Linked DNA regions of Notamacropus eugenii. The protein of the gene in region 2 purifies or fractionates together with the protein of the main gene of each other region. This does not show direct contact. Links are inferred from orthologs where the notes say so. Each region holds a gene or a part of one and is shown on either strand. Other genes may lie near its edges.

Region 1 (7,728 bases), about 65 Mb from region 2:
TGCCTGGCACATAGTAAATGTTTAATAAATATTGGTTGAGTAAAAAGAGGCAGGAATTTAACAGACTGAATGTTCCAGATAAGTAAGCTACAGCAGCCCAAAAAGCTAATGTGATCTTGGACAGTATAAGATGATGCATGGCATACAAAAGGGGGGGGGGGGGGCAGGGAAGGAGTGATATTCATTGTACTCTGCCCACCCCCTACCCCCGTTAGACCACACTGGAATACTGTGTTCATTCAGGGTGTCCCCCCCACCCCCGTTAGACCACACTGGAATACTGTGTTCATTCAGGGTGTCATGTTTTAGAAAGGTAATGATAAAAGCACCCATAGTTGGGTGATCAGGATTGTGAAGAGTTTCCAAGATCATCACATTTAAGGACAGACTAGAGAAGACAAGACTTAAGAGGGTAGGTAACAGCTGTCCTCAAGTATGTGAAAAGCTGCTATGCAAAAAAGGGATTCAATTTTTCTGCTTGACCCCAAAGTTCAGAACTAGGACCAATGAAAGGAAATTGAAGAAGCTGATCTTTAGCTGTAAGGAAAAACTGAACAATTAAGATTACCCAAAAGTAGATCTTCAAGCAAAGACTGGATGACCACTTGACCATTATATTACAAACAGAAGTGAGAAGAAAGTGAGGTTGGTGACCTTGTACAGCCTCACTCAAATCAAAGTCAACTGCAAGTCATGTCATCATCTTGACGTCATGGTCCTCTTCGAGAATGAAGGACAAACACAACAATAAACAAAAGTGCTGAACTAGACAGTTTCTGAGGTCCTTTATAACTATGAAGTTCTACAATTCTGGCTGCTCCTCAATATAACAATGAGAAATAGCATTTATGAATTCTATAGCCAAGCTTTAGGCTATTAAACTTAAATTACTTTTTTCACAGTCTGAAAACTATGTAATTTTTAAAACTGGTAACAGAGTTTCCATCTCCCAACAAGAACATTAACCCTTCCCAACTGGATTCTAGAATGTCTTATAAGGCAAGACAAGGGTATTTGGTTAACACTGAACTGGGAGAAAGTCACAGGGGGCAAAATGAAAAGCACCAGCATATGAGCAGATATACAGGTTATCCTAATCATACCAAGTGAGCATTTTATGATTGACCCAAATAATAAAGGTTCCTGGCTCTGGCTAGCTTTAGATTCAGCAACATTTACAAAAAAGTTTTGATACCTTATGGCAGAGCCAGGTAATAATGTATTCATTATATCATTACAAAACATTAGTTGAAATAATCTTGGCATGTTATGCCTCTAAAACTGCATTAAGCCCAACTTATATTTAAATAAAATTGTACTCATCTATTTCTTTCAAATTTGTTGGGGAGACTGGAGTTTTATTGCAGTGCTCTGGATTTGCTGGAGGTTATTATTTCTATTATCTGCTTTTAGAAGAATTTTTATGGCATTTTGTTTTCTATTTATCTGAGAAGTACTTCTCATTAGCACTTGTGTAGTAAGCTCTAGGCAGGTAAAGGCTGTTTATATTTGTGGCCTTGGAAAAACCAGAAATCCTTGGGTGTTGTCTTTTCTATTTTTAACTGGAATTGTGATTTCATTGGCATAGCAATATCTTTTGGTAAGGACACTCCCTCTCCTAAACCAGATGTGCATTTGCTCTATAGCTTAAGAGTCTCAGAATTGTCCAAAGCCACACAGCAACCAAACATGTCCAAAGTAGGACTTGAACCCATGTTTTCCTTACTCAAGAAGCTTGGTTGTCTCTCCACTATGCCAAGTTTGTCTCTCTAGAGTTCTTACTTTGCAAAATATCAGATTAAATCTTTTAAAAAGCCTGGTCAGTTTTAAATCATGATTTAAGATGGAAGATGAGAAATTCTTGTGAAGGAATCATAGAAGGTGTATTGAGACAAAAGTCTTTCCCAAGACTGCAGAGCTCAGGGTGCACCATCAGTGTGCTGCCTTACTCATCTCTCAGATGACACTGATGCTTTAGACAAGGAAGCATCAGTTGTTTGTTGTCTATGGCATGGGTCCCTCATCCTGTTGTTTATGCATCATGATTGATATATTCAACAATTACCACAGCTTAGAAATAATAGGCACCACCTTGATATATCACCTGATATATCAGTCACTTTAAAAAAACAATAACATATGTGGGTCATCTGTTTGTGGTCAGAGTAGTTGTTAAACTGGTTTACCTGGAATAGCAAAAACTCAACCTGAATCCAGACCAGAGTTAAAAAACAGGGCCCAGAGGTTTATCTTTGAATATGAGGCCCAAAGCCACAGTTCATAATTATATACGATATGGAATACTGGGGAAAACATATTATTCTGGTAAAACACTGGAAGATCGAATAATTTCCTACCCTAGAAAACAGAGGATAGTTCAGTGATTTGGGGTAAATCTATAAGAATGAAGTCAAAGTGGCCAAACCTTCAAATTTAGTGAGTCTGATAGTCGTTTTGGTTATTATGTCAGCTACATGGTGCTAGGCTCACTTGTTGCACAGTATTAAGCCAACAACTGTCAAATTCGACTTGCCAGATTTTTTTCAGTCTGGCATCAGACTGTAATGTTAGTAATAACACACACAATTAGTTCATCTCTGAGGCTCTACTTCAGACTGGCCTGGAGGCAAGGAAATGGTCACATGACCCCAGGTCAACACTAGGATGAAGTGAATTGCTTAACCCATTATGGAAGTAACTTTTTAAAAAAAGTATTTCCTCTTACTTCAAGCTTCTTATACCAAGGATGTATAACAGTAAACAACGATATCAAAACCAGCTGAGCTTCTACCAAAGACGATCAATTTTACAGTGGAGTTTAAAAAGGAAGATAATTCAGGACTGATGCAATCTGATGAATCCTTCGCTGATCTCAGCAATACCAATATCCAGGAATAAGTAAAGCTGAAGTCCTGACAGCTTTCACACTTCTAAGCTGGCACAATTTTATTCCTTTTTCTCTCCTGGGGTGTCCAAGATGTAAAAATAATTAGGCAAACACTGGAGAGAAAAAAGTGAGAACCAACCCAGTGCTGCTATGAAAATGGGTCCCGTAGTTGCGCCCCAGAATCACATTAATGTAGAACTCGAATGCGGACTACTAAATCAACGGGGCTCCTTCATTTAATAGTTGAGAGAACTAAAATCCAGAGAAGGGCAAGGATGACTCGCTTGGGTAACAAAAAATCACAACTCCAACACAAGTCTTCTGATTCCAGGATGGAGCTCTACTTAACATACAGCATGCCTCAAGTTTTAGGCACGTAAAACTTCTGGGATGTTCTCTATTATGCTACCCACACCCCCACTTTGAATGTTTACTATGCATACAAATTAGGGGATCCTGGATTTAGAACTCTAAAGGATCTCACAAACCCCCAATTTTTAACCCCTCATGAAATTAAGACCATGTGAATGCCGTAGCAGCTGTGCCCGATCCTGGCATAAACTTATATGCCCAGACAGAATCGCTACCCTCTTCAGAGGTCAGCTGAGTCGTCCCACCCCACAGGAGGGTCATCCTCCTGACCCCTTCTCCCCTCCCAGAATTTCCACTGTATACAGTAGACTCTTTCTATTAGGGTCCACATCCTGATCCAAAGGCAGAATGGGAGTTCCCCCAACACGGGGCAGTTTTCCGTCGTCTCGGCATCGCAAAGGCGCCGATCAATGCTCGAACGCGGAATCCAACTTGTCGCACGAGGTCCTAGGCGGTGATGACGGGCAGGGCCCGGCTCCAGGCCAGGCCGATCCAAAGCTGCCTTCCTAAGTCTCTTCCCGGTCTGAGGCTTCTTTCCTACGAGGTGATGCCGCCCTCGGTCGGAGGACGGGAGGAAGGTGGGGGGCGCAGGCTAGGCCCAATTCCGGCCCGCGGGTCTCGACCGCCCCGCTAATTCATCCACCCATCTGCCCCGGGGAGTAGAGGGCCCCGGGAAGCCGGGCCGGCGGCCTTGGGATTGCGTGGGCGGCGCAGGTCGGTCAGGCCGCGGGCGCTGGTCACTCCCTCCACTCGTAGGAGCCGAGGAGAGAGGAACGGGCGTGAACCGACGCACATGACAACGGTTCTCGCCCGGCCGCCCGCCCCTCATTACTCCACCAGGGCTGTGGCACCGCCCGCCGCGCCAACATGGCGGCGCCTCGGAGACGCTTCCCGCGCGCGCGCGCGCGTGCGCTCTCCACAGTCTGGGCGCGGAGAAATTAAACCGGAAGGAAGGTAAAGGGCCGCGGGGGCGTCGGGGTTTCCCCGGGAGCCGCGCAGGGGCCACGGAGAAGGCGGCGAGCCGTCGCAGCACGTCTCCGGCCCGGGGAAGAAGGCGGGGCCGTGATCGACGGGAAGAGGCGGGGCGCGCCTCCTGGGCGGGGCGAGGCGAGGCGGCGTGACGGGACGCGGTGACGTAGAGCGGCGCGGTGACGCACGCCCCTTTGTTGGCTCAGTAGCGGTAGCAGCGGCCGTGGTGGTGGCGCTGGGGGTTGTTTTCTCTCGGAGGCCGGAGCGGAGCCGTGTCTGACCGAGGCGAGCGGGGCCCCCCTCCCTCCCCTCCCCCTCTCCTCCCCGCCGCCGCTGCCGCCGCCGCCGCCACCACCAGCCCCGCCGCCGCCACCCACCCCCGGCCACCACCTCCCGCCGCTGCCGATCGGGCCCCCAGCGTCCGGCCGGGGAGGAGCCGCCGCCCGCGCCCGCCGGGGCCGGAGCCGGGGCCGGAGCCGGCCAGGCCCGGGCTCTTCCCCCCACTCCCCGCCCCGCCGCCGCCGCCCGCCCGCCCGCCCCCCTCGCGCCATGGACTCGGACGAGGGCTACAACTACGAGTTCGACGAGGACGAGGAGTGCAGCGAGGAGGACAGCGGCGCCGAGGAGGAGGAGGACGACGACGACGAGGAGCCCGACGACGATAACCTGGACCTGGGCGAGGTGGAGCTGGTGGAGCCCGGGCTGGGCGTCGGGGGCGAGCGGGACGGGCTGCTGTGCGGGGAGACGGGCGGCGGGGGCGGCGGCAGCGCCCTGGGGCCCGGCGGGGGCGGCGGCGGGGGCGGCGGCGGGGGCGGCCCCGGGCACGAGCAGGAGGAGGACTACCGCTACGAGGTGCTCACGGCCGAGCAGATCCTGCAGCACATGGTGGAATGTATCCGGGAGGTCAACGAGGTCATCCAGGTGAGGCGGGCGGCGGCGGGGGCCGAGCGGGGCTAGGCCCGGCGGGGCGGGGCGGCGCGGCCAGGCCAGGCCAGGCCCCGGCCACTTGTTGATCGGCGCAGGCCCCGCAGTTCTGGGGGGCCCGGGAGGAGAGGGCGGAGGCCTCGGGCCGAGCGGCGAGAGGGAAGAGGTGGCCGGAGGGAGCCGAAGGAAGGCAACTACTTGGGAGAGCCGGGAGCCAACTTGGAGGTGGGGGCGGGGGCGCCGGGGCTGACCGGGCGGCGCGGCGTGGCGTGGCGTGGCGTGGCCGGGCCTCCCCGCGGGGAGCGGGCCGGGGCCGCGGCAGGAAGGCATCTGTTTACATCCTCGCAGGCCCGGCGTGGGGGAGGGGGCGCCCGGCCTGCCTCTGCCTCTGCCCTCGACCCGAACCTCTTTCCGTGCCCTGGGTAGGGGGGGCACGATTTCATCCCGCACTCTGCACTCTCGCTTGTTAAAATGGGAGAGAAATCGTGCGTTATTGTTTAGATTGAGACAATGCTCCGATTGTGAGCTGGAAAACCGAGGCCGGCGCTCTGCCTCCGGACTGCTTTCCCCGCTAACTTCTTTCTCGGGCGGGGAGCTTTGTCCAGGCCGGTGACTACCTCCCTTTGAATTCTCCTTTCCTGTGGCTCAGATTGTATTTTGAGCTTCAGGAAACGATGGGAAGTTTCCATTTGCTTGGAAACATTCTTTACAGTGGATAAGAGGTTGAGGAAGAGGAGTATAACTGCAGCCTTGATTTAAATGAGAGTTTCGTGGGTTTTTTTCATTGCTTAGTGTATAGAAACTAAAGGATATTTCTGAGCATCACCAAACTGCCTGCTCTGCCAAGTTGCTTGGTCATTTTTTTTCTTTGCTGAATGTGCAGTGGTGGAAAACCCAGTAAGATCTTAATGATTTTTTTTTCTGTTTTGCATTAAATTGAAACATAATAATCATTGAAAACTTTGAAAATAGATTAAAACATTCAGTGACCACTTGTTAATGGTGTCCCTAAAATCATGAAAAACAGTGAACACAGGTTTAACTGGTAGCACATTTTTAAGCCTTGTTTTCATAGACACACAATATATAACCTATATTTGGAAAGGATGAGACCATACTTTTAATTAAAGTACCAGAAACCTCAAACTTTCTGGAGGCAGCTAACTACAGTGGAAGCAGCATTGAATTTGGAGTCAGAACCTTGGGTTTCTGAGCTTGAGTTCTCCTCTACTTTACTGCTTGTGTGACCCTCAAGTCACTTAATCTTACTGTGTCTCAGTTGTTGCATATCTAAGATGAGGGAGGTTGAGCTAGGTAACCTTTTAGCTTTAAATTCTATGATTTATAACTCACTTCTTAAAAGGAAACTAATACAGAAGTGATTTTCTGAACCATAACGCTGTAAGTAGCTTTTCTGAATTTGAAAAATACAACTTATAGGTCTCTGTGAGTTGAACAGATTCTAGAAGTGTTCGTTTTTGGTTTTTTATAACTTAGTTCTAGTTCATTTGTGTGGGTCTCAGAGCCTTTGGGGAAACATTTCATTCAGCAGGATTCTGTGTTGCTGAAGATGCAGTTGCATCTATGTGAAAATGATAATCGTTTCTGCCCTCAAGAAACTTGTAAGTCAGGCAAATTTGATAATCAGGTTTACAGAGTTAAAAATTTTCAACTGGTTTCTTTTGTTTAACCCTGCTTTGATCTTTAAAAGTGACTTTTTTCATAGAGCTGAAATCCCTGCTACATTTCTGATAGATTTGAATTACTTTGGCGTTTCATTAGGACCATACTGTCAGAGCTAAAAGAACAACTTAGCATATGCTCCAACACCAAGTGTAGAGTGAGTACCTGTTGTGGATCTTACTGTAAGAGGCCACAGGAGAAGATGCAAATAAAGTGTGACTAGGCCTTTGCTTTCAAGGAACTTGGATTCTCAGTTTGCTGGGTAGCTGACAGTACAAAAATCTGGCTATTGCCTTTTTAATCTTCTTTTAGAGTTTGGAGAGATAAATTTAATTCTGATCCTCAGGATTAGCAGGACCCACTTAAATAGTAGTTGTTGATCAACCATTGAATGGCATGAAAATTTTCATGTCCACGCTACTATATTGGTTCAAATTTGAGTAGCCCCCCGAAAAATGAAATACTTATGAATAAAATGTTAAAGTAATAATAGTCAACATTTACTTGGTGAAAATACAGGATGCTTTGAGGTTTTTATACAAACCAGATTAAGGAGTGTCACATAAAAATACAACCTGTGTTTTTACAAAAATGATAAAGTAAGTTTAGGGGCAGCGGATAGAACAGCAGTGCAGGAGTCAGGAGGACCCGAGTTCAAATCTCACCTCAGACACTTGACACTCACTAGCTGTGTGACCTTGGGCAAATCACTTGACCCCAATTGCTTCATCCTGGGTCATCTCCAGTCATCCTAATAAATATCTGGTCACTGGATTCAGATGGCTCTGAAGGAGAAGTGAGGCTGGTGATCTGCACAGCCCTCCCTCACTCAAAACGAAGTCAAGTGCAAGTCATGTCCTCATTTCTCTGATGGCATGGTCTTCTTTGGCAAC
Region 2 (6,849 bases):
ATCTACCCCTGCCCATCCTATAGGACTTTTGTCCCTGCCCTATGTTTGCCATGGCTGGGGTTGGGGATGGGGTGGAGGTGTGAGGACAGGCTCAGCTATACCCAACCTGCTACAATTTGACATCACAAAGATACCAGTGGAACTCAAGGGCTGTCTATCACTTATCCCCACTTATAATATAACTAACTCAGCTTTTCTTTGGTGACCCTTTACTTGTGGTATCTGGCAGCCATGTTTATCCCTCATATGCCTCTTCAGGTTATTTTCAGTTTCAGTTCTTTGGCAGAGTAATGTTCTATGGTTTTCAAACATACATCAGTACATACATCAGTTTAATATTGGTATTAAAAAGATGAACTTATGTTCCAGGGAGAAGTTGTAGGGCAGAACATAGACAAGGAACTAGAGAATAGACTTTGGTCTCTAAACGGGTAAATTTGATGCCTAAACGATACTCCCTCAGAGAAGTGCTTGATCACAAAGAGAGCAGCAAATGTGGGCAAGAATGGAGTGGCAAGAACTCAGGCTAAGGTCTCTGGAGAAAATGTCAAATACCTCAAAAGTATTATGTGCTGCTATCTACTTCTCTCACTTTTCACCCCCTTGGAGTTGGTATTTGCCCAATCATTCCATAAAAATTGCTTTCTCATATATTTTCCTTTGGATGCATAATCAGTTAAACCAATGATTTTTTCTGTGGATTTTCTGTTCTGCCCTGCCATATTTGACTTTATTGCAAGGCCAACATTTTGTCAGTTTCTTATTTGCTTATTATTCTGCCTGCTTGACTTAGCCTTATTCCACAAGTAAAGGGGATGTCTCATATCTCTCTCTATTCCAAGGCACACTGTTGTTTGGCACGTCCGCTGGAAGAAAGTACACTTTGGGGGCTGCTAAATAAGCAATCCCTTTTCCATCAGTCCTGCGTGGTACAAATAACTCATTGGTTTTACTCTCCAAGTAGAATGCTATTCAGGTAAGTGGGTAATACTCTTTTTTTCCCTCTAAGAGTACAGTTTTAGGAAATGCCCTAAGCACTGAGTCCTAAATTAAAATTTTGAGAACTCTTATTCTTTGGCTAGAAAGTTAGATTTTGAAATTACATAGTCAGTCTGGAGAATTCCTTCCTTTCTTCCACTTTCACCTGCCACACAGGGGCCTAGGGTTGATGAACATTGTCCATGAACTGCACTTTTGTTTTGAGTAAGCACACTAGTCTGCTTTTACCCTGTGCTTCTACAGAAAATCTATCAGTATGCTGATTGCTGTCACCTTGGGTTGAGAATCTTGCCTTTCAGGATCTCTTCTTTCCAGCTACCAGCAAGAATATACAACTTGTCTCTTTCCCAAGACAGTCATTTTTAGTTCCTGGATACATACAGAAAATAGTTTTCCTCCCCCTAGGACTATATCTGTACACTAACCTATTTCTAGATGGGAGAAAAAGAATGCCTGAAAGAGTGAGCTGTTGGGTCTGTCAGTTCTTTTTTTTTTTTTTAAATTATTATTGTTATTATTTGTCCGTAGATTCTGGAGGGGCCCAATGACATCACAGGGTGATGACCTGACTGGTACTTTAATTGGATTTAAGTGAGGCAGAACTGATAGAGGACAAAGACCAGAAGCTTCTTCTACAAAAATTAGTCTTTTTACATTCCAGATGGCCAATCATCTTGGCAGCAGCTTTAGGTACTGGGTCTAGTTCTGAGTCCCTTAAGTAAGGTACTAGTGGGTATGCCTACATTCTCCATGGAGAGGTTCTACTAAGAGTCCTCTAAAGGCTCATGCCTTGAAATTTTATCAAGTTGTTGAGTTGGGGAAACGTCCAGTGGATCAGTGACTATTAATCACCTCACCCCACATACTCATGCTTTAATTCACCTATTTTGTAAATTTATACATCAATATGCCTGTAAATATTAATCAATATCTATATGTCCTGTCAGTGTTAGGCCTGGGTTTGCTTCAGGTGGAATTATTTTGTTTTAGGGTAGAACCAAATTCCAAAATGAAGCTTTTCCAGAATTAAAAACCACATTCAACACTAGCTAGCCCCCCCAAAAAATTCCTGTAACTCTGACTTCCTGTAATTTACCTATTTCCACCACATAGATATTTCACAAGCTTGGCTTTGGGCCAGAACTGTAAGCTTTGAGAGGTCATGAGTCAGGTCTGGTCTCCCAGAACTAGAAGGCTAGTTCCCATGGCAAGATCTTGTCTAATTTCGGGAACAGAGGCCTGAATTTTGCAGGCAAGATGATGAGTTCTGGACAAGGAGTGGGAAAGGCCTTAGGCAGGTAGACCAAGGGATGTCAAAGCACTCAGCAGCCTGCTCACAAGCTGAGTTCCAGTGGATAGCAATCCTTTGGATACAGGACAGATCTATGAGGTTTGGGGAGTATCTAGCCCCCCTAAACCTCAGTTCGCAGGGTTCTGGTAAAACCTTTCTCTGTGTCTGTGATTAACCCCTTGCTGCTAGGTAAAAGTGACATGGTCGCCATCTTGTGAACAAATCCCAAGTCAGACTCCCTAAGCTTCTCACAGTAACCAAGGTGACAGTGCACTTCCGCTACCCAGAAACTGAAAAACTACATTTCCCATGAGTCCCTTTTCCAACTCCAGGTAGGTGGACTTCCTCGGACCAATTCTCGTAGGGAAATAGCAGAGCTGGCCTAGCGCAGGGATTGGCGGGTGTCTCAGTTCCCTTCGTTGCCCCGCCCTATACTGCTTTCAGGCCGAGAACTACATATCCCGTGAGCCCGCGGGCCCGCGCTTGCGCGCGGCTGAGCCGGTTCTCCCTTGCCCCCCTGCCGGCGCCGGGAGAGGTAGGGAGAGGGCGGGGGGAAGGAAGAGGAGGCGGGATCCGGGAGCTGCGCTGGCTGCGGCCTGGCACGAAGGGGGCGGCCCTGGCGGAGCAGTGAGACCCAGCGGCCCCCGGTGACTATGGACCCGGCCGAGGCGGTGCTGCAGGAGAAGGCGCTCAAGTTTATGGTGAGGAGAAGGCGCGGGCCGGGGAGCAGCGGCGTTGGCGGCGGCGGCGGGAGTAGCAGCCGCGTCGTTCTTGGCTGCGGCTTGGGCCTGGGCCGCTTGTCTGGAGAGGGGGACAGCGAGTTTGGGGTCCGGGGGCGGCGGCGGCCGCGGGGGCGGCGGAGGCCGGAAGGGTCCGGGCAGGCTGGGAGCTGGGGGCCTGGGCCCGGGGGGTCGGGAGTAGCAGCTCCGCCATCTTGTGGAGGAGAGTCCCAGTGACAGCGGGGTCCCGACGGAGGGGGGCTGCCCGTGGCGCGCGGGGCGACGGAGGGGAAGGACAGAGCGGGCCAGTTCCTGGGGAAATGGAAGGTTGCGGAGGCGAGGGCGGGCGGGGGCCGTTGTCTGTCCCGCCGCGCGGGCGGCTCTCGGCCGCTGCGGGGGCGGACAGGTATTTGGGGGCCGAGTGCGGGAAGGGCCGGACGCAGTGGGGCTGCGGGGAGGAAGCCGGGCTCCCGGGGCTGGGGCGAGAGGCCACTAGAGACGAGGGCACCGGGACTGGGGAGGCCTGAGCCAGCCTAAGAGGAGACGAGGGGACGAGCAAGATTCTCCTACTTTGGAACGGACGGGGGGTTAATATTGTAACAGAACAAGTTGATGGTCTCCAAGTATTGACCAGAACAAGGTCAGGGGCAGGGGAAGAGTTTAGAGGCCACTAAGGTTAGGGGCAAATGCCTACTCGTGGGAGGAAAGGCAAGGAAGGTTAAGGCAGTCTCGGAAAGGACTGGGTCGTGGAGAGTCTCCCTAAGTGTCGCCGAGTGAATTAGTGACATGGGAGTGCGGGAGTGGAGAGGGGTTGGGAGACACTGAAGAGAAAGCAGTGGGACGGTGGAATGGGAAAAGTGATGCTAGATCTCTGTACTCATTAGAGAGTGTGAGATATTGTTACATTTTTCTGTAACTTTGTATCATGCTATACTTGTGTTTTGCTAGTGTCTGGTCAGTTTTGAGTAAGTTTAGCATTTGAGGCTTTTAATCTGATTGCCCTTGGCTTTCCCACATACAAAACTTCAGTGATGTCATCAGACTCTGTAGTTACTGCTAGCGAGTGATAATGAAAAAGAATACACATAGACTTTATCTGAGTTTACCAGTTGGTCTTTAGGAAATCAATACTATTTGCATAAGTTTCCAATTTCTTCAGAGTTGAATTTGGAATAATGACAGCCCCTAACCCCATTCTTTGAATGAATGGTTGGTATTTCCAGTGTTGCCTGGAATACAGTAACAACTGCAAACTAAAATAGCTACTGAGTTAATATTAGGTCAAAACAATCTAGATGTTTTGTTTCCAAGAATGAATTCTAAGTGATTTGTATCATTTGGTGGAAGTTCATTTGATGGGAATTAATGTTTTTACGGACCAGAATTAAAAATTTATTAAGAATATAGAAATCAGTTGTTTGAAGTGTCTCTTTGAATTGCTACCCAAAGTTTGAATACTGTATCAGGTATAAAAATCTTTGATTTAGGAGGTAGCATAGGGTAGTGAAAAGAACATTGTATTTACAGTTAGAGGATGTGGAAGTCCTGGCTCTTCTAACTTACTACCTGTTTGACTTTGGGCAATCTTGACCTCAGTTTTCCCATCTGTTTACAGAGAAAGGGTTGGACTAGAATGAACTCCCAGCCCACTTTTGATTCTAAATCTATGAGCCTATGATGCTTTATTTTTATTTTACAAGGCAGGAATTATTCATATACACATATGGACAGCTTCTAGTCTTTAAAGATGGTAGTCACTTAGTTTCTATTTTCTCCTTAGAGGATAGAATTTTTCTATCAACTTAAGACATTTTTACCAGATTTATGGAATAATATAATTTACAGATCACAAACACATATTATGAGATCATCTACTTTAGGCAGCAGTGCAAGAACATTCTTTACTACTTGGTCTCAGTTCTATACCAAGGAGTTACTTATGTTTGAGTTGTGCCACCTGAGTTAAATTAAACTTATAAATCTGAACTAGATTGACCATATCTTACTTTATACCTGTCAGAGTACCTTATAATATTAAGATTGAGTCACTTCCTATAGGGATAATAAAGCTCTATAGACAAGGACTCAGCTTCTGATGCCTTTCTTTTGGCACTACCAGCCATAGCTTTTGTCTGAAAGGAAGCCCAAGTAGTCACCAAGAGAGAAAACAGAGACATATTTTAAATGCTAGAGCAGAGGACTGAGATCTAGATATTTAGTGTTCCAGTTGAACAGTCTTTTACATGAATTTGGGTAAGTCAACTCTTTGACCTCATTTCCCTATTTATGAGATCTTTGTTTACTTGTGTTAACTTTTGAGGTCTTTTAATGACTCTGTGTTTACAAAATCTTGAAGAATGTGAGTATACTAGATATGAACTTAATCACCAATGTTCTGCTTACTAGAATTAGAGGAATCATTCCATAGGAGAGTTATTAAAAGACCTTACTTTAAATTCTTGCTCTGTTATGTACTGTGGAATGGTGGGCTAGAGCTTTGAGCCTCACTGACTTTGTAAAATAGAGAACTAGACTAAATCTCTAAGGTGTCTTCCAGCTCAGAAATCCTATAGTTTCTGTGGTTTCACTTTAACTTTGAGTGATGTGCAGTGCTTGGCAAAAAGTAGGTGCTTAATAAATACTTGTTGGCTTGAGGGGAGGGCAATTTTAGCACAGATGAAAGACAATTTCACACTATGTTAGCTAAGAAATTTGTTACCCCAAAAGAACTCAAATACAAATAGATTCAAGAAATGTTTAGATAAATTTATGGGTGATCTATAACATTATTTAGAATGCATTAGTAAATGTTTGGAGGACACTTGTAACCTTGTGAAGTTAAGACCAAGAATGATAACCACTTTATTCCACAAAACATCTCTGATGGCCCCATCAGAATGTTGGTTTGGGTCTATTTGGGGCATTATTTGAATTCAGTCAGACTGTTCTTATTCTTCCTTGTTATCTCCTGCATGGTGCTTATTTACGTCGACCAACTCAGCTGACTGAAGGATGTTCATAGACATTGACAGGGATAGGGGCTAGCATTTACATAGTACTTTAAAACTTGCCGAGTGCTTTACAAACATCATCTGATCTAATTCTCGTTACAGTCCTGGGGGATGGTGTAGTGCTATTATTATTTCTGTTTTACAGGTGAAGAAACTGACCCAGACAAGTGTTAAGTGCCTTGTTTAGGATTACACAACTAGTAAGGATCTGAAGCTAGATTTGAATTTGGGTCTTCCTGACTCTAAGTCCAACACTCTATCCACAGAGCTGCCTAGTAGTCTCAAATACTCTTCCCTGGGTAATCAGTACGCAAAAAGAACCTCTTTTTAACTAAAATTTATTTACAATATCTAGGGTTATTCTCTCCTCCTTCATTCCTTTCCTCAAGTTATGAATTATTTCAGACCACTTTTGCACAGATTTTGTAGTTTGCGTATTTTAATAGTTAAATTTTTCCCCCCAAATAAAAATGAAATTGGTATTTTTGTACAAACTTTAAACTATGAACATAGTTTAGAGAAGATTAATTACAGTAAAACTTTATCTGTACTCCTGATTTTATATTGGTTGTGCTTTATCTGAGATCTAGGCTAAGGTTTAACTTTGCTCCCTTTATGTAAGAGGGTTTGCCAGAGATGAATAATGTAAAGTTAACCTACTTAAGGAAACATTATTTTAAAGCACGTTAGAAGTACTAGATTATACCAAACTAATAATGATTTTATTAGGAGTCATTATTTATTGATCACAGCAGATTCCCCAGGTACTTTTGCCCACAATTTGTTAGGGGGGAAAAAGATCCCTCACAGAAATATATAAGGAGGCTAG
Region 3 (7,878 bases), about 570 Mb from region 2:
CTGTGAAATGAGGCAATTAGAGATGTCCTGTGAAATTCCATAAAATCCTAAAAGCTGGAAGATACTTTGGTAGTCATCTGGTCCAATCTGCTAGATGGTGCAGTGGATAGAGTACAGGCTTGGAATCATGAAGAAGAATTCAAATCTGTCTGGAAACACTTATCAGCCATGTCTTACTAGCTGTGTGACTTAGAGGCAGGAAGGGGATAGGCAATGGAGAAAATGGGCATGAGAACTCATAGAAAAGTATTTCCACTTACATTTTATACTTTCCATGTGCCTGACTCTATTTGACTCCTCCCAAACCAAGGTTATGTGGAGGAATTTTGTAGGCCCTGAGCCCCTGACATAATCACAGGACACAGAAATATAACAGTGTCTGGTGGTCTTCAGTGCCAAAAGGAAGTAGAGAGACATGATGAGTGGGAGCAAGCTGCTCCACATTGCCAGTCCAGTGGGAGAAGTGGCCTGACATGGTGTGAAGGACAAAGGGTCATCAGAGTTCAAAAGATTCATGACTTTAGGGAAGAGTGAGGGGGTCCTCTCTAAAGAGGAAAGGATAATGGGCAGCCCCCTCATGCTCTATGGAGATGCACCCAGAATTCTTAGGGAGGAGCCACAGTAGAATATGAAGAAGAGTCACCAGGATGACCTGGCATGGGGGAGTGAAGTTGGTGTTGGTGGGAGTATCTGTGTGAATGAGATCACAGATGATACTGAGTGCTGAAACACGTCTGGGAGCTGGCATGGGAGGACTTTGGATGTACAGCAGGGGTCTGGCTGACACCTCTGCACTACCAGTTTGGGCATGAGTATGATGACAGCCCAGTTAGATAAATAGCAAATGCCCTTATTTCTGTTTTACAAATGAGGAAACAGGACCAAAAAGGGAAGGTTCCTTACTCAAGGTCCGTGGTAGGTCACAGGTTAGTAAAGACAAGAACACCGGTGTCCTGCTTTCAGACCAAGTTGTAGGCTCTTCTTCCAGTTGTCTTCTGGTCATTGTCTGAGTCACATTTGTTTGTTCTTTAAATACAACAATATTTTAAAACTGTGAAGGACTTCAGAACTCCTAGCCAAGCAATTTTTCATAATTGCTAAGGATCTCCTAAGAGAGAGGTGATCGGCTCCAGATGCAAATTGAAATGTATATATTTGGACATGGTCAGTGAAGAGAGATGTTCTGCCTGACTATGCCTGCTTCTTATGAGGGTTTGTTTTTTCTTTTTTCTTTTTAAATATAAGGGGGGGGGGGTGGGCACAGGGGGAAAAAATTTTAAATTTACATGAAATTTGAAAAATATTTTATCCATGTTTTGTTTCACACAACTGACATTTTCCAATTACCCCAATACCTCTTAGTAGCCTTCTGAATTAAAAAGAGAAACATCCAAGAAGAATAAAGCTCCGCATCAGCTTTGGCAGTATATGCAGCATTCCACACCTGGAAGCCACCACCACAGACAGAACTGAGTTTCATTACCAGTCTTGTGGATCAAGACTTGTCATTGCATTCATCTGAATTCGACTCCCTCTTAGGGATGTTTTGCTTGCATTGTGGTCACTGGGTAAATGGTTCTCATTGCATTAGGTCCTATAGGCTTTCCCAAGTTAATACTGATTCTTTGGGTTTCTTGTTCTCCATTACACAGCACCTCTCCCTAACATTCACATACCACTGGACATTTGGATCCTGCAGAAGAGAAGACTGGCCAGAGAGGGGGAGGAGGAGACTAGCTGTGCTGAAGTTCTCGGACTGTCACATGGGGCAGGGCTCAGCCTTGGCCCCAGGGGGCAGAGACAGGAGAAAAGGGGGGAAGGCTTGAAGAGCCCAGTTAGGTTTGATATGAGGAAAAACCTCCTAATGAGAGCTGCCCAGAGTGGAAGGAGCTAGGTTCACCCTTTTAACATCTTTAACCTTCAAAGCCTCCTCCCCATGATAGCCCCTTGGGGTTGGTCATACCGATATTATTTGCCCTAGTCTGCATAAGATCCCAGAAGTAAGGTGACTTCTGTGGTGTGTCAGTCACTCAACAAATGTTTGTGGAGAGCCCCCTGTGTTCTAGGCTCTGTGCTGACTGCTGGGGATAATCATAAAAAGGCAAAAAAAAGGTCCCTTCCCTCAAGGAGCTCACTTGAATGGGTCATCTGGTTAGGAATTGTCTGTCTGTCCTAAGCCCGATCCCTACAAATCTCCCGGACCCGTGGCAGTGTGTGACAGCCTCTTAGGGGAGCATACATCACTGTGGGCTGCAGGGGTCCTAGCACTTTTCAGGGAATGTTGGGCTTTGGATCCCACTTTGCAGTCACCTCTGGCCATAAAAGGGGTTCCTTCATCTTTTCAGATAAGACAGAGCCATCTGCCATCTGCCTCGGGGGAAGAGGGAGCCAGTGTGAGCAGAGAAAGCTTACCAGCCTCAAATCCTTTTACTTCTCTGATTCTGAAAGGGCCTTAAGGAAGAGAGAAAAAAGGGAGAGAGGGAGGAAGGGAAGGGAGAAAGAGACGAAGAAAGAAAAAGAGGAAAGAAAGGAAGGAAAAAAGGAAGAAAGGGAGGAAGAAAAGAAGGAAAGAGGAAGAAAAAAGGAAGGAAAGGAAGAAAAAAGGAAGAGAGGAAGGAAGGAAAGAGGAAGGACGGAAAGAAAGAGAAAGGAAGGAAGAAGGAAGGGGAAGGGAAGAAAGGGAGGGAGAGAGGGAGGAAGGAAAATCTAGGGACTCTTGATTTATTCCTGTCAGGTCCCAGTTTAGACACTTACCTAGGGAGGAGCCATCATCTGGCATGATGCATAAGAGCTTTAGGGTCCGATGAGCTGGGTTTGAATTTTGATTCTGTGCCTAAAATAGTGCTCTTAGGCAAGTCACATTCCCTTGGTGGGTGGGGCCAAAAGGGTCACAGGAGATGAACTCCAAGGCTCCTCCAGCCCCAGATCTGTGATTCTATGAACTGTTCAGCCTTTTGAGAAAGGTACTTGGACAGGCTCATTGAGTCTCTGTTTCACCATCTCTAAGGTGGGGATGGAGTACGTTGTGAAAAATACAAGGTCAAAAGAATGTAAGTAATATAGTCCAGACTATGTCTCTTGGTGGGAAAACGCCTGGGAGGAATCGAAGATGTTTGTGAATCCCAGTAGGAATGCTTTTCCTTGTGTGACCTTGGTTAAATGATTCTGGCCACAACGCAGAGTAGGTAGTGAAATGAAACCAGTGCTGGAGTTGGTGTTCAAATGTAGCCTCAGGAGCTTACTAGATATGACTCTGGGAAAGACAATCAATCTGCCAGCCTTGGTTTCCCCATCGTAAAAAGAGAACGCTAATAGCATCCACCTCCTAAGCTTGTTTTGAGGATCTAATTTGTAAAGCACTCTTTGCAATATTCCAGTCTTTCTGACTGCCCACTCTTTCAGGCTGCAGTTAGCATACCTAGTGGCCACTTAATATAGCCCGGATGCATGAGTGGCTGGGTTTCCCTTGCCTAACATCTGGCTGGAGCTGAGCAGAATCAGAATACCACCTGCCTATTAATGACTCTAATTCTGCAGCAGCCACAGTGTTCGCTGCACGCAGTCGAAGCCTGTGGGTAAGAGGCAGGGGCTGCATCCACTGCAAAGCTTCTGTGGGTAATGCAAACGTTCTGCTTCCGTTTTTTCTCCTCCAAGGTTTTTAAAGGCGCTTCTTTAAATGAGCTCCGGGGCAGAACTTCCTACGTTATGCAGAGAAAGCCTGGGCTGGAAGTTTTCTCGATCCAGGCTGCCTAGAAAATCTGATTTCTTCTTTGAAGGGGAAGAAAATGACAAAGAAATGACAAAGGAGAAGGGCCCAGGTCTTTGCAACCACGCAGCGCGGGGGGGGGGGGGGGGGGGGGGCGTGCCAATACGCAATGAGCTAGATCACAGTCCTTGACTCTCTCCTCCCTCCTTCCTCAAGAACAAATACAGCCAGTCCCCACCCCCACCCCCCACGGGGCTGGTCACTGCCACATCTGGGCAGATGAGAGGGTGGGGAGAGAGACCCAAGTGTGCCGAGAATGCACGTCTGCTGTGGGGGGGTGCAGGGCAGGTGGGAAGACCCCGAAAGGGTGATCAAGGGGAGTAAAGGAAAGGCGGGAAGGAAAGAAAGCGGTGGAGAGAAAGGGGGTCAGCAGGCTGCTGCTGGCCAGGCCCCGTGGCCAGCCTGGGCTGCAGTGGCAGCAGTATGGGGAGCGCCCGCTAGACAGCGGGGGTGGGCACGTGTGCCTCGCTGCATCCCCAGCTGCCCCTTCTCTGCCCCGCACAAAGCCGCCCGCGGAAGGATACCTCCATGGGCTGACCCTACGTCGCTGGTCCAGGGCCCCCAGCCGGAGCCCGAGCAGGCGGCGGCGACCCGAGTGCTCAGTGACATACCCCCTCCCCCCCGCATTGGAACTGATTGACGGGCGGGCGGCTCAATGAACGGCGAGCGGCTGGGGGGCGGGGCGGGGCCGAGGCCAGCCCCCTTATGCCTGGGAAGCCCCGCGGAGCGGCTGGGGCGGGCAGTGCTGGTGACATTGACTGGGGAGCCCCCGGGGGGAGGCTGAGCCAGACTGCTGGGTGCGCGCGTCCAGGGGGGCTCACACCGGAGCGCGCACAGCCTCCCTCACAGTCTCAGTCTCAGTCTCTCTCTCAGTCTGTCTCTCTCTCTCTCTGTCTCTGTCTCTGTCTCTCCTGTCTCTCTGTCTCTCGCACACACACGCGCGCGCGCGGGCTCTCTCTCTCTCTCTCTCTCTCTCTCTCTCTCTCTCTCTCTCTCTCTCTCCCCCTCCTTCTCTCTCTCTCTCTCTCTCCCTCCCTTTCTCTCTCACTCTGACACAGTCAGACAAGAGATTCCCGGCCACGTAAGTAGCTATTAATACGGCCCGTGGCGGCGATGCAGGCGTCTTGAGCTAGGGCTCAGCCCCGGGCACTGTGGGTGCCCCTTCGCTTCCCTCTGCACCCAGCAGCCTCACACCCGCCCCCCAGCAGAGTCCCAGCCGAGCGTCTCGCCTGCTTCTTTTCAAACTGTCAAGACCCCTTCCTACCATTGCCCTCCCCCCGAGAATTTCCGCCTTGGGCTCCGGAGACCGTGAACAACAGCCCCGGCCCCGCATCGCGGAGACTGGCAAAGCAACCCGTGCTTGTGTCCGGGCGGAGAAGAGGCTGAGAGAGCTAGAGATCCAGAGCGGGGCGAAACCTGCTCCGGAGGACGAGCCTTCTGTCCCGTCTCTTCCACCCCACGCTGGGGGGTGTGCGGGCACCGGGCTGAGAGCCCCGGCGCGGCCCCGGAGGACGCCGACAGCCCCCGCCTCTTTCAGACTCGCTCCAGGGAGTGGAGGACAACCGGAGAGGCGGCAGCGGCAGGGGCCAGAGCTGGAGCGGCATGAGCCGCCTCTGACCCCGAGCTCTCCTTCTCCAGCCCAGGACGCCCCGGGCTGCGCGCCCCACGAGTGGGCTGGGCAGCCAGGCTCGCCTCCAGGCGCCGCTTCGGAAGCTGCTTTTGTTGGCCGTGCCGTGCGCCCGCCCGCCAGTCTGTCCTTCTGTCCACACGCCCGCAGGTCTGCCTGTCCGTCTGCCCGACCGCCCCAAGTTCAATGCTCCCTCGCTAGTTACTGGAGCGTTTGAGGGGAGCCTTCTCTCGCTGGGAAAAGGTGAAGACGCCATCTACAGTCAAAACGTAGACAACTTCTCTCCTCGCCTCCCCACGCCCCCCACCAAAAAAAAAAAAAAAAAAAGGAGGAGGGGGCCCCACGAGTCCTGTATGCCTTGCTTGGAGTTGCGGAGCCCCGCAGGCTGCAGCTTTCTTTTTTCTTTCCACGCTCTTTGGGCTTTGACTTTTCTTCCTTCCTTCCTTCCTTTCAATACGGTTCTCGGGCAGCCTGCACCCTGGGCCCGCTGACCGCACGGCTTCGGACCCTGCCGCCCCGGTGCGATCCCGCCCTCGGGCCACTGCTGCAGCTCGGGCTTTCTGGGCTCGCCTGGCTCGGAAGCCTCCCCGGGTCCCCCGAGGCAGTGGAACGTTGCAGCTCGCTGCGTTCTGAAGCCGGCTACCTTGTTTCCCTCGCCGCGCACGTTCGGAAGCATTAAAAAAAAATCAGCGATCGAACGGCGGTTTCAGTCTATCGCCCGCAGCGGCGGCGGCGGCGGCGGCGGCGTTGTTCCGTGCCGGGAACAAAAGGGGCCGCTCGCCGACCCGCCCGCCTGCGGAGAAAGTGCCCCCGGGACCCGCTTTTCCAGCGGCGGAGGTGCCCAAGCTAGCCGCCTCTTTCTTTGCCCCTCGGATTCCTAACTCTTCCTGCACGCAGCCCCCTCCCCTTCCCTCTCTTCTTCTCTCCTCTCCCCTCACTCCCCCCCCACCCCTTTTTAATCTCTAACACAAAGGCGCCTGCAGCCGGACTCGCCAGCGAGTGTAACCCGTCCCCACCGGGTTTTGTTGTTTGCGTGTGATCGCCACCCTCATGAACATACAAAGATCTACCCCGATCACAATCTCACGCTATGGGAGACCGCGGACCAAAACCCAGGATTTTGAAGAGCTGTCGTCCCTGAGGTCCACCGAGCCCAGCCAGAGCTTCAGCCCCAACCTCGGCTCCCCGAGCCCGCCGGAGGCTCCCAACTTGTCGCATTGCGTTTCTTGCATCGGGAAATATTTATTGCTGGAACCTCTGGAGGGAGACCACGTTTTTCGGGCTGTGCATCTGCACAGTGGGGAAGAGCTCGTGTGCAAGGTAAAACTCACCCCTTGCCCCCCCCCCCCCCTCCCCAAGCACCCTCTTCCCCCAGTGCCAATTCCACGCTTTTAAGGGAAGGAGACCCGTACCGCACTCTCTCAGCCAAACTCTTGAGCTGGGAGCAAATCCCCTGGTGCCTATTCTAATTTTATTATTGTTATTATTATTTTAACGTAGGACTAGCTCAGAACTTTGCTGGCCACTTCAGACAATAGGGGCAGGCTCTCTACCGGGGGCGTTCCAGGCAGAGTCGCTTTGAGAAGGAGCCCTGGGTAGGGAAGAGAGGCCAGAGGGACCATATGTCCAGACTCAGGCAGGTTTTTATTGAAAAAGTACGAGAGGTCGTCTGCTGCCGGACAGATCCTGGAAGACAACCTTCCACCCCCTCTCCAGCCTCTCTAACCCCCGTATCCCTTCCCCCAGCCCCATTAGAGGAGGGAATCCCCTACTCATTTTAAGACAATGCCTTTAGAATCACACAATGTCAGAGCTGGAAAGGTCCTTAGATAACTCTCTGGGCTAATACCTCTCATATTACAGATGAGGAAACTGCGGCACCGAGATGGAGAAGGGTTTTGCCCAAGGGTCTGGCTTGGCGCTTTCCTCCCAGTCTCCTGCAGCAGTACGGGTGGGAGAGCTTTGTTTGGAAGTAGGCTTTGCAAAGGAACCTAGAGGTCTGGCTGTTGGGTTGTCCGGGGTCCTCCCTCCTTCCCTCCCCGGCCCCTTTGCACAATGGGAAGGGATAAAAGCCCCAGGCACACCTCCTTTTAGGAAGAGACTGAGGCCGCTGCCGCCACCTGCACACAGCCTCCCGCCCTCCCTTTCTTTCCCATCTCAGCCCCCCTCCTCCTGTTCCCTCCCCTGCTTTTACCAGTTGTGCCAATTCGACCAGGCTCCCTTTAAGGTTTAAAGGGAAGTTAGTGGAAAGCCACGGCATGGGCACAGCTGGTGAAAGAATGAACAGCTCTGGCTTTGAGCTTGGTGGAGGGGGAGGAGGAAGGCATCCCTGCTTTGAGGGTTTGACCCTGAGTGAGGACTGGGGGTGTGTGTGTGTGTGTGTGTGTGTGTGTGTGTGTGTGTGTGTGTGTGTGTGTGTGTGTGTGTGTGTGTGTGTGTGTGTGTGTGTGTGAGAGAGAGAGAGAGAGAGAGAGAGAGAGAGAGA
Region 4 (7,670 bases), about 440 Mb from region 2:
TTCCAGTCAATCAGGGTCAGAATAGTGAAGTCGCTCAATTCTTCTCTCTCCTGCAGTCTCCATACCAAATGTGTCCTGGAGCTAGCTCTAACAGGCTCCAGAGAGAACTGACTGTTTAAATTTTCAGTGTGAACATTCGTTGTTATTGAGTCGTTTCAGTTCTGTCCCACTCTTTATGACCCCATTTGGGGTTTTCTTGGCAAAGATACAGGAGTGATTTGCCATTTCCTTCTCCAGCTCATTTTACAGATGAGGAAGCTAAAGCAGACAGGATTAAGTGACTTGCCCAGGATCGCACAACTAGTAAATGTCTGAACATTGACACATCAGAAATTGGCAAATATTACATATCTGAGCTAGTAAGCAACTGAGCATTTACTGGAAATCTGGTTTTGCTGATTGCCTAGATTTGAGAAAGTAAAGGAGAAAATGATTATAATGCAGATCAGCCTTAAAAGTGTGCGCCCCAGATTTAGAAAACTGTTAAAATCAGTTACCCAGCAAACCCCTGATCCATACTTTATCAGTTGTCAAATCTTGTGGACTCCACCTCCAAAACATCTCTCCAACCAGTCACTTTTCTCCACTCACATATACCACCTCTTGTACAGATCCTCATAATTCTTCTACTGAATTATCTCAATGGTTAATTCTTCTCCCTGACTTTCTCACCATATAATGCATTTTCCACAGAGTTGTCAAAATAACCATCCTAAAACACAGGTTGGAGCACATCACTTCCCTATTTAAGAAGGAATTGCTTTTCCAACAAAATACAAATTCCTTTGACGTTCATACATCCTGGTTTCAGTTTACTTTTCTAGGTTTATTACACATTACTTCCTCTCAAGTTCTCTTGGGTTTCAATCAAATCACCTGCTTCCCCAGCATAATATTCCATTTCCCATCTCTGTGATCTTTACGGGCCATCCCCCCATTGCCTGGAATTCGCTCTCTCCAAATCTCTAAAAAGTACAGGTACTTTTTAGACTCTCTAACTTCTGTGAACACCAACTCATGGGTCATTTCCTATCCCAGTTGATAGTGTTCTCTCCCGGTCCAAAATAGTTGGTATTTATTTATCTATGCCTTGCCTCTGACACATACTGCTGCAGAACTGTGAACAGATTGGTGCCCTACACATCTCTTTAAAACTGGAAAACGCAGAGAAGGGGCTAAACTTTATTGTAGAAGAAGTTTTCTTGTCCACCAGTTCTCTGTACCAATGAAATCACATATCTAGTCCCTTTCTTTGCATATCTGATTAAATATATCCCTCCCAACAGAGTGTGAGCTCTTTGAATGAGTGGGCGGGGGAGAGAGAAACATTTATTAATGATACCTGGTATCATTAATATTTATATAGCACCTAAGATTTGCAATTTCTTTACATATAAATTAGGCAGTCGGGTGGTACAACAGCTAATACTTGAGTTCAAATCTCACCTTAGACATTTACTAGCTGTGCAACCCAGATGTTTTGTGTTTCTCTAAATGTCCTTATCTCTAAAATGGGTATAAAAATAGCACTTACCTCCTAGAATTGTTGTGAGGATAAAATGGGATAATATTTGTAAGATGCTTTGTAAACAACAACCTTGTGAGGTGCGTGCTGTTATTATCCCCATTGAGGAAACTGAGTCTAAACAGTTAAGTGACCTGCGCAGAATTCATCAGTGTCTGAAGTTGGATTTAAAACTAAGATCTTCTAAACCCTAAACCCCAAGTCTTTGACTCTACCTACAAAACCTACCAGTTTAAGGAGGAGTGGGGAGGGGGAGGGGAAGGTGCTGGACAAACTCTGGGAGAGAGAAGTGGGACAAGTGTTCATCAAGCTCCCATTACTACTGTGCCAAACACTTTACAAATGTTAGCTCATTTGATCGTCACAATAATCCTCGGAGGTGATGGTATTATGACTCCCATTTTACAGCTGAGTAAATTGAGGTAGGCAGACCAGTGACTTGCCCAGGATCACACAGCTCCTAAGTTGTTTTTCAGTTGTGTCTGACTCTTTATGACTATTTGGGTTTTTCTTGGCAAAGATACTGGAGTGGTTTGCCATTTCCTTCTCCAGCTCATTTTACAGATGAAGAAACTGAGGTAAACAGGGTTACAGGATTTGCCCAGGGTCACATAGCTAGTAAGTGTCTGAGGCCAGATGTAACCCCAGGTCTTCATGACTTCAGGCCCAGAGCTCCATCTACGGATCCACTGTACCACTCAGGTGCATAGGGATAGAAAGACAAAAGTAGAGAGTCCCTGCCTTCAAGGAGGTCACACTCTAATTCAGACCAATAGGGAAAGACAACACACTGGGGGCAGTGTAGCCAGGAAGCGGCACTTTGATCAGTAAAGTTATAGAGATGGTGGGTAGGGACTCAGGGGACTAGAATACTGTACCCTTTGCAAGAAGAAGGCTAAGTTGACATGGTCATGCTTCTAGAACTGAAGAAGGGTAGAAGGGAGAGAGAAGGAAAATATAGTATACTCAAAGAAGAGAGGCTATTGGGTGAAAAGATGGTCAGGGAATAGGGAATGATGCTACAGGAGAAACATCTGTCTAAGTTCATGTGGTGGGTTAACTGCTGCCAAATATATATTTACCACAAAGCAGAAAATATAGAGCTAAAAACCTAGGTTTTCTGATGATGCTCAAGCCTAGATCAGGCCTCAGAGAAAACCTGAACAATCGTTAGGATTCTGACAAGGCTTCTTATAGGCAAAATTATGTCAGAGTGACTGAGGAATAATTCATTTTCAGATTGTAATAGTGTACATTACATTTAGGTCATAAAAGCTAAAGAGAAAATAGAGCCATGCTCCCTTCAATGTCATAAAAGTTCAACACACTTAGTTAAACATTTATAATTTCGTATATCCTCTAAGGGAACAAACCTCCTCAAACAAACTCTATAAGTAAACTAAGTCAGAATACAGATTAAACTACATTTAGAGGATTTACAAATAAACTGATTAAAGAGGAAGATTTACATGGCCAAGAACTCAGAGACAGTTGAGAATCTTTCTCTGGGTTCTTATTTAAGGAATGTTTAAGGATCTAAGGGCTAAGCAGCTAACTAGGCAGCTCAGTGGCTCCAGCACTTGATCTGGAGTCAAAAAACTGTGAGTTCAAATTTGGCCTCAGTTACTTATTAGCTGAGTGACCCTGGGCAAGTCACTAACCTCCTATTTGCCTCTGTTCCTCATCTATAAAATATGGACGCACTAGAGAAGGAAGTGGCAAACCACTCCAGTATCTTTGTCAAGAAAACCCAATTTACAAGTCAAATATGACTGAACAATAACAAGGTTCTAAGTAAATTTCCATATCCCATGGGACAGGTTTTGGTCACGAGAATTAATATAGACTTTCAGTTAACCAAAATTTGCTGGGGGCATGGTTCTCAGTCCCAAATAAATAGGAAATGAAAAATTCCCATGACAAATTGAAACTTGTCTAGAGTCTGCCTAAAACAATGTACCATTCACCAATGTGGATGTTGGGAAAACTGAGGGAAAGAACTGTTTCCCATTTTGTCTTTGTGTCTCTAGCACCTACCTAAGCACAATGCTTTGTACATTGGATGGATGGATGGATAGATGGATAGATGGATGAAATTATCTAGCTCAATGCTCTCATTGCATGAGTGAGGAAACTGAGGCTCAAGTAAGTTGTCCACAGTCATATTGGTAGTTCTAAATCCTGAGAAATTTTAGACAGAAGGTTTTTCCTCTATAGCAAGCTGCTTCTCCCTTTATCAAGGTTAAATTTCTTTTTGAATTTCCTCATACTCCTTGGGCTTCAAACACTGGCTTTTAATGCAACACTACCAGGTTTTTGTAAGAGCAAGAAGGAACTTACTTTAAACACCCCTTAGATCAACCCTGTCATTTTTTAAAAGAAGAAATAGATCACTGAACCTCAGAGAGGGGAACTGATTTGTTCAAGCCATCCAGCTATTGCAGAAGAGTAAAGGAACTGACTCAATCAGACCTATCTTCTCTGACTTTTCCTCCAGGACTCTTTTGAATTTATCTTTCTTTCTTAGTTTTGGCACGGTGGCAATTTCCTTTGGAATGGGGCTTAACTGTGACTGATCCTTCCAGATAAAAGGAAGAGAGCCTCAAGAAGGGAGGGATAACTGACTTCTAAGGGGGATGACACTGTGGTAATGGCAAATTCTTGTAAATCATCAGCCAATCCACCCTAAGCAGGGACCCAGAAAAAATTCCACCTCATGCAGTGTCAGAGGAAACAGAAAGAGCCCTCCCAGCTGTGGGAAGGCTGAGGAAATCCCCATCAGTGCCTCCATTCCCAGAACCTGCTGCTAGTCAGTTTCATTTGTCTAAGAAAGGGCCTGGGGCTTGTTGCATTCATTCCCTGCTTGGGGGTGCTGGGATTTGGTACCAGAGTATACTGAGAAAGGACCGTCCTTCCCCTTTGTCCCCCCAATATACACCCTCGGATTTTGGGTTTTTAGTTTTAATTTTTAGAACAATACACATCTTCCTGAGAAATCCTGGGAGCTGGGGTCCACTGTTGGAAGAGTCAGGTGGGTTGGAGGGATGCATAGGATGTCCAGTCTAGAACACTAGAAGCCCGGAGCTGAAGGCTTCCTCGGGTCCCTGTGGCCCCTTTAAGAGCCTGCCCGTCCCCCGCCATGTGGCCCGCTGACATCAGAGCAGGAAGTGTTTGAGGAAGTCTAGAGCTAGCAGGCAGGCTGTCTAATCCAGGTCCCTGAACCCTGATGTGGTCTGGGGGGGCACCCACCGACCTAAGTCCCTACAGGTGGTCTCCGCCTCCCTCCCTGTTCCCTGCCCTGGCAAGGGCCGCCTCCCCCTTCCCCAACCACCAGGCAGGTGAGTTCACCCCTTACTTCTCCCCACCCCCCAACCCCCGGGACCCTGAGCTGAGACAGGTGGCTTAAGGTGGGACCAGCTGTGACCTCTTTCTTGTCCCTCTCCTTGGTCACTACTCCTGACATCCAGGGAGATAATCAATCTTGTTTGTCCTTTCCTGGAGGTTTGGAAACAAATTTCTACTGAGTTCTGGAAGTTTGCTTTGCCCACCCACTCTGTTTTGTTCCTGGTTGGTGAGTGTTAAAATCCGGGAGATTGCTGTAAAGCCTAAAGAGAGAAAATACAGCTGGTGTAGGTTCCCCCACTGATCCATTTGAAGTGCGTGGTTTGGCATGGTGGGGAAGGAGGATTCATTCATAGGCTCTCCATACCATATAAAGGCGTATGTGATTTCCCAGGAAGTAAAAAATTGACTTTCAAATTTTTTATCCAGGGAAAGTAGAGGAAGGGAGTCTTAAATGGCACCTTAGGGGGATTCCTTTGGCAATCAAGGGATCTCTTTGAGTAACAGAGGTAGGAGAGGTGTTGAAGAACTTGTTAGAGAAGAGTTTCTTTTTTAAAAGAAAATAAAAACACACTTTTTCCTTCTCACTCACACCCAAAGGCAAGAATCCTCTGTCCCATTCCATCTCTCCAAGGGGTCTTGTTTTTCTTCCTCTGATCCTCCTCTGAATTCCCACAGCAGTAACTTCAGAATGAGCTGGCCACCTTCTCTTCAAATGCAGACTTGTGGGTCCTGGGAAATGAAAGAACGGCTTGGAACTGGGGGATTTGGAAATGTCATCCGGTGGCACAATGAGGTAGGTAGGACCTCTTTCTACCCTGGGAAAGAACAGTCATGAGGTGAGGGGGGTTAGTGCATTTCACACTTCACTTCCCAAGTGGCTCTAGTGAGATTCCTTCTGTTTGATCTAGGTGTGCCTATCCCACCATGTTCTGGGTTTTGATTTGGGTCTTGGTGGTAGGGTGGTCTCATTTGGAGAGAAGAGCCAAAGAGGCAGAAAGAACCTGGATCAGAGTAGGTTCCTCAGATTTGCTAATCTTCTCTAGCCTGCCTGTTGGAGAAACCTTGGACATGTTACCTGCCTAGTCAATCAACTGTCATTTATCAAATAAACCTGACTATGTGCAAGGGAAACAAGGAAAAAGTGAAAATCCCTGACCTCAAGGAGCTTATCCAGCACCTGGATTTCATTATAAACAACAAACTAATGTCCTGACAAAATCCTACCAAAAACCCCAATTTCCCTAAGGTTATTCCACACCAGAAAGTTCCGCAAGTTCTTCACCATAATCAGGAATCTGGCTGAAATGATGGGTCACATCACTGTTGGTTTGTTTGCCTCTGAGGCTCTTGACTGGACAGTCATGACCCATGATTATGCAACTCTAAATGTTAAAGTACACCAGGCCTTCTCAATTCCAAGTGGACAGGACTCTTCCTGGGTATTTGGAGGTTAAATACAAACAGCTTTGGAGTCGGTTGCTTAGGAGAGAAGCTCTCATTCCTGGTGGAGAGTCAGGAGTACTAGCCAGTCCTATACCTGAAAGGACCTGCTGGAAAAAAAGACTACCTCAAACTCACTCAAATCGCTCCACCCACCCTATGGTCTAGCATTAAGTACAATGCCCCCTCTTAGGGTCACCAAATTATTCCTACTTTAGAACATTAAATTCAATAAATATTTATTAAGTACCTACTATAGGAAAGGCACTGTACTGCAGGCTGTGGATAAAAAAACTAAACAGTCTCTGCTTTGAAGGAGTTCACATTCTATTTTAGAGATATGATGGGGACAAGGATAAGTCAATACAAAATATTTAACCCGAGATGTTGATAAAGGGTGATATTCTTATAAAGAGAGTGAATAAATAAAACGTACAGAATCTAGACTCCTTGACTGTCACAGGGACCTATCACTTCCATTTCTGTAGTGCCTTGTAGCATACAAAGTCTTTTCCTCACCACAACCCTATGAAGTCGAAATTACAAGCATTTTTTTTACCAAAGCTTTGATTTTATTGGTTTATGATAATATCAATAAGGAAACATCCTATACCTATATAGATGTGCACATTAGAGAATTGCCTGGGACAGGGATGAAATGACTTGCCCAGGATCTCATGACCCATTTGTGTAAAAGATGGGACTTGAACCTCGATCTTTGGACTTAGAGGCCTTCTCTCTATCCACTGTGCCGTGCTAACTCTCAGGTTTTGTGAGTGTTATGATGCTCATTTTACAGGTTTAAATTTTTTGCCTAAGATCAAATGACTAGAGGGGTTTTATACGGTAGTATTCTTATTGTTGAATCATGCCTGACTCTTCATGATCCTGTGGACCATCTCATCGCTAGCCAGAGCTGGCCATGGGGTTTTCTTGGCAAAGATACTGGAGCAGTTTGCCATTTCCTTCTTCAGTGGATTAAGGCAAACAGAGGTTAAATGACTTGACTAAGGTCACACAACTAGTAAGTGTCTAAGGCCAGATTTGATTTCAGATCATCTTGACTCCAGGCCCAGTGCTTTATCCACTGATCCATCAGTTGCCTCTTTATATGGTAGCACCAGGACCCAAAATTTGTTATCCAGAGTTCAGGGATCCTTGTCTTGCACCATCCTCCATAACAGATCCCTTCTCAGCTTAGTCAAAGGCAGTTACTTTTGCTTTAAAAAAAAAAGGAAAGAAGGTAGTCAAGGGAAGGAAAAGGAGAAGAGGGAGAGTAGAAAGGAGAAAGGAAGAAGGAAGGACAGAAAGAGAAAGAGAATAGGAGAAGAGAGGAGATAATTTCCATGCAAGTGTTCCA

What was found.
Region 1: the proteins of BTRC (region 2) and ARIH1 purify together in Homo sapiens (affinity purification with mass spectrometry; 3 studies listed by BioGRID and IntAct, counting the BioPlex papers as one, with this or other methods). This does not show direct contact. The link is inferred for Notamacropus eugenii from reciprocal best matches to the Homo sapiens genes BTRC and ARIH1.
Region 3: the proteins of BTRC (region 2) and TRIB2 purify together in Homo sapiens (affinity purification with western blotting; 3 studies listed by BioGRID and IntAct, with this or other methods). This does not show direct contact. The link is inferred for Notamacropus eugenii from reciprocal best matches to the Homo sapiens genes BTRC and TRIB2.
Region 4: the proteins of BTRC (region 2) and IKBKB purify together in Homo sapiens (affinity purification with western blotting; 3 studies listed by BioGRID). This does not show direct contact. The link is inferred for Notamacropus eugenii from reciprocal best matches to the Homo sapiens genes BTRC and IKBKB.

What each region holds. Positions count from the first base shown.
Region 1 is NC_092872.1:244,700,886-244,708,613, reverse strand, and holds the start of ARIH1 (E3 ubiquitin-protein ligase ARIH1), read left to right. Parts: upstream 1-4,726; 5' UTR 4,727-4,777; coding exon 4,778-5,149; intron 5,150-7,728. UniProt on the Homo sapiens protein: E3 ubiquitin-protein ligase, which catalyzes ubiquitination of target proteins together with ubiquitin-conjugating enzyme E2 UBE2L3.
Region 2 is NC_092872.1:179,423,875-179,430,723, forward strand, and holds the start of BTRC (F-box/WD repeat-containing protein 1A), read left to right. Parts: upstream 1-3,844; 5' UTR 3,845-5,252; coding exon 5,253-5,262; intron 5,263-6,849. UniProt on the Homo sapiens protein: Substrate recognition component of a SCF (SKP1-CUL1-F-box protein) E3 ubiquitin-protein ligase complex which mediates the ubiquitination and subsequent proteasomal degradation of target proteins. Recognizes and binds to phosphorylated target proteins.
Region 3 is NC_092872.1:751,839,387-751,847,264, forward strand, and holds the start of TRIB2 (tribbles homolog 2), read left to right. Parts: upstream 1-4,876; 5' UTR 4,877-6,443; coding exon 6,444-6,713; intron 6,714-7,878.
Region 4 is NC_092872.1:618,298,710-618,306,379, reverse strand, and holds the start of IKBKB (inhibitor of nuclear factor kappa-B kinase subunit beta), read left to right. Parts: upstream 1-4,668; 5' UTR 4,669-4,863; intron 4,864-5,545; 5' UTR 5,546-5,558; coding exon 5,559-5,663; intron 5,664-7,670.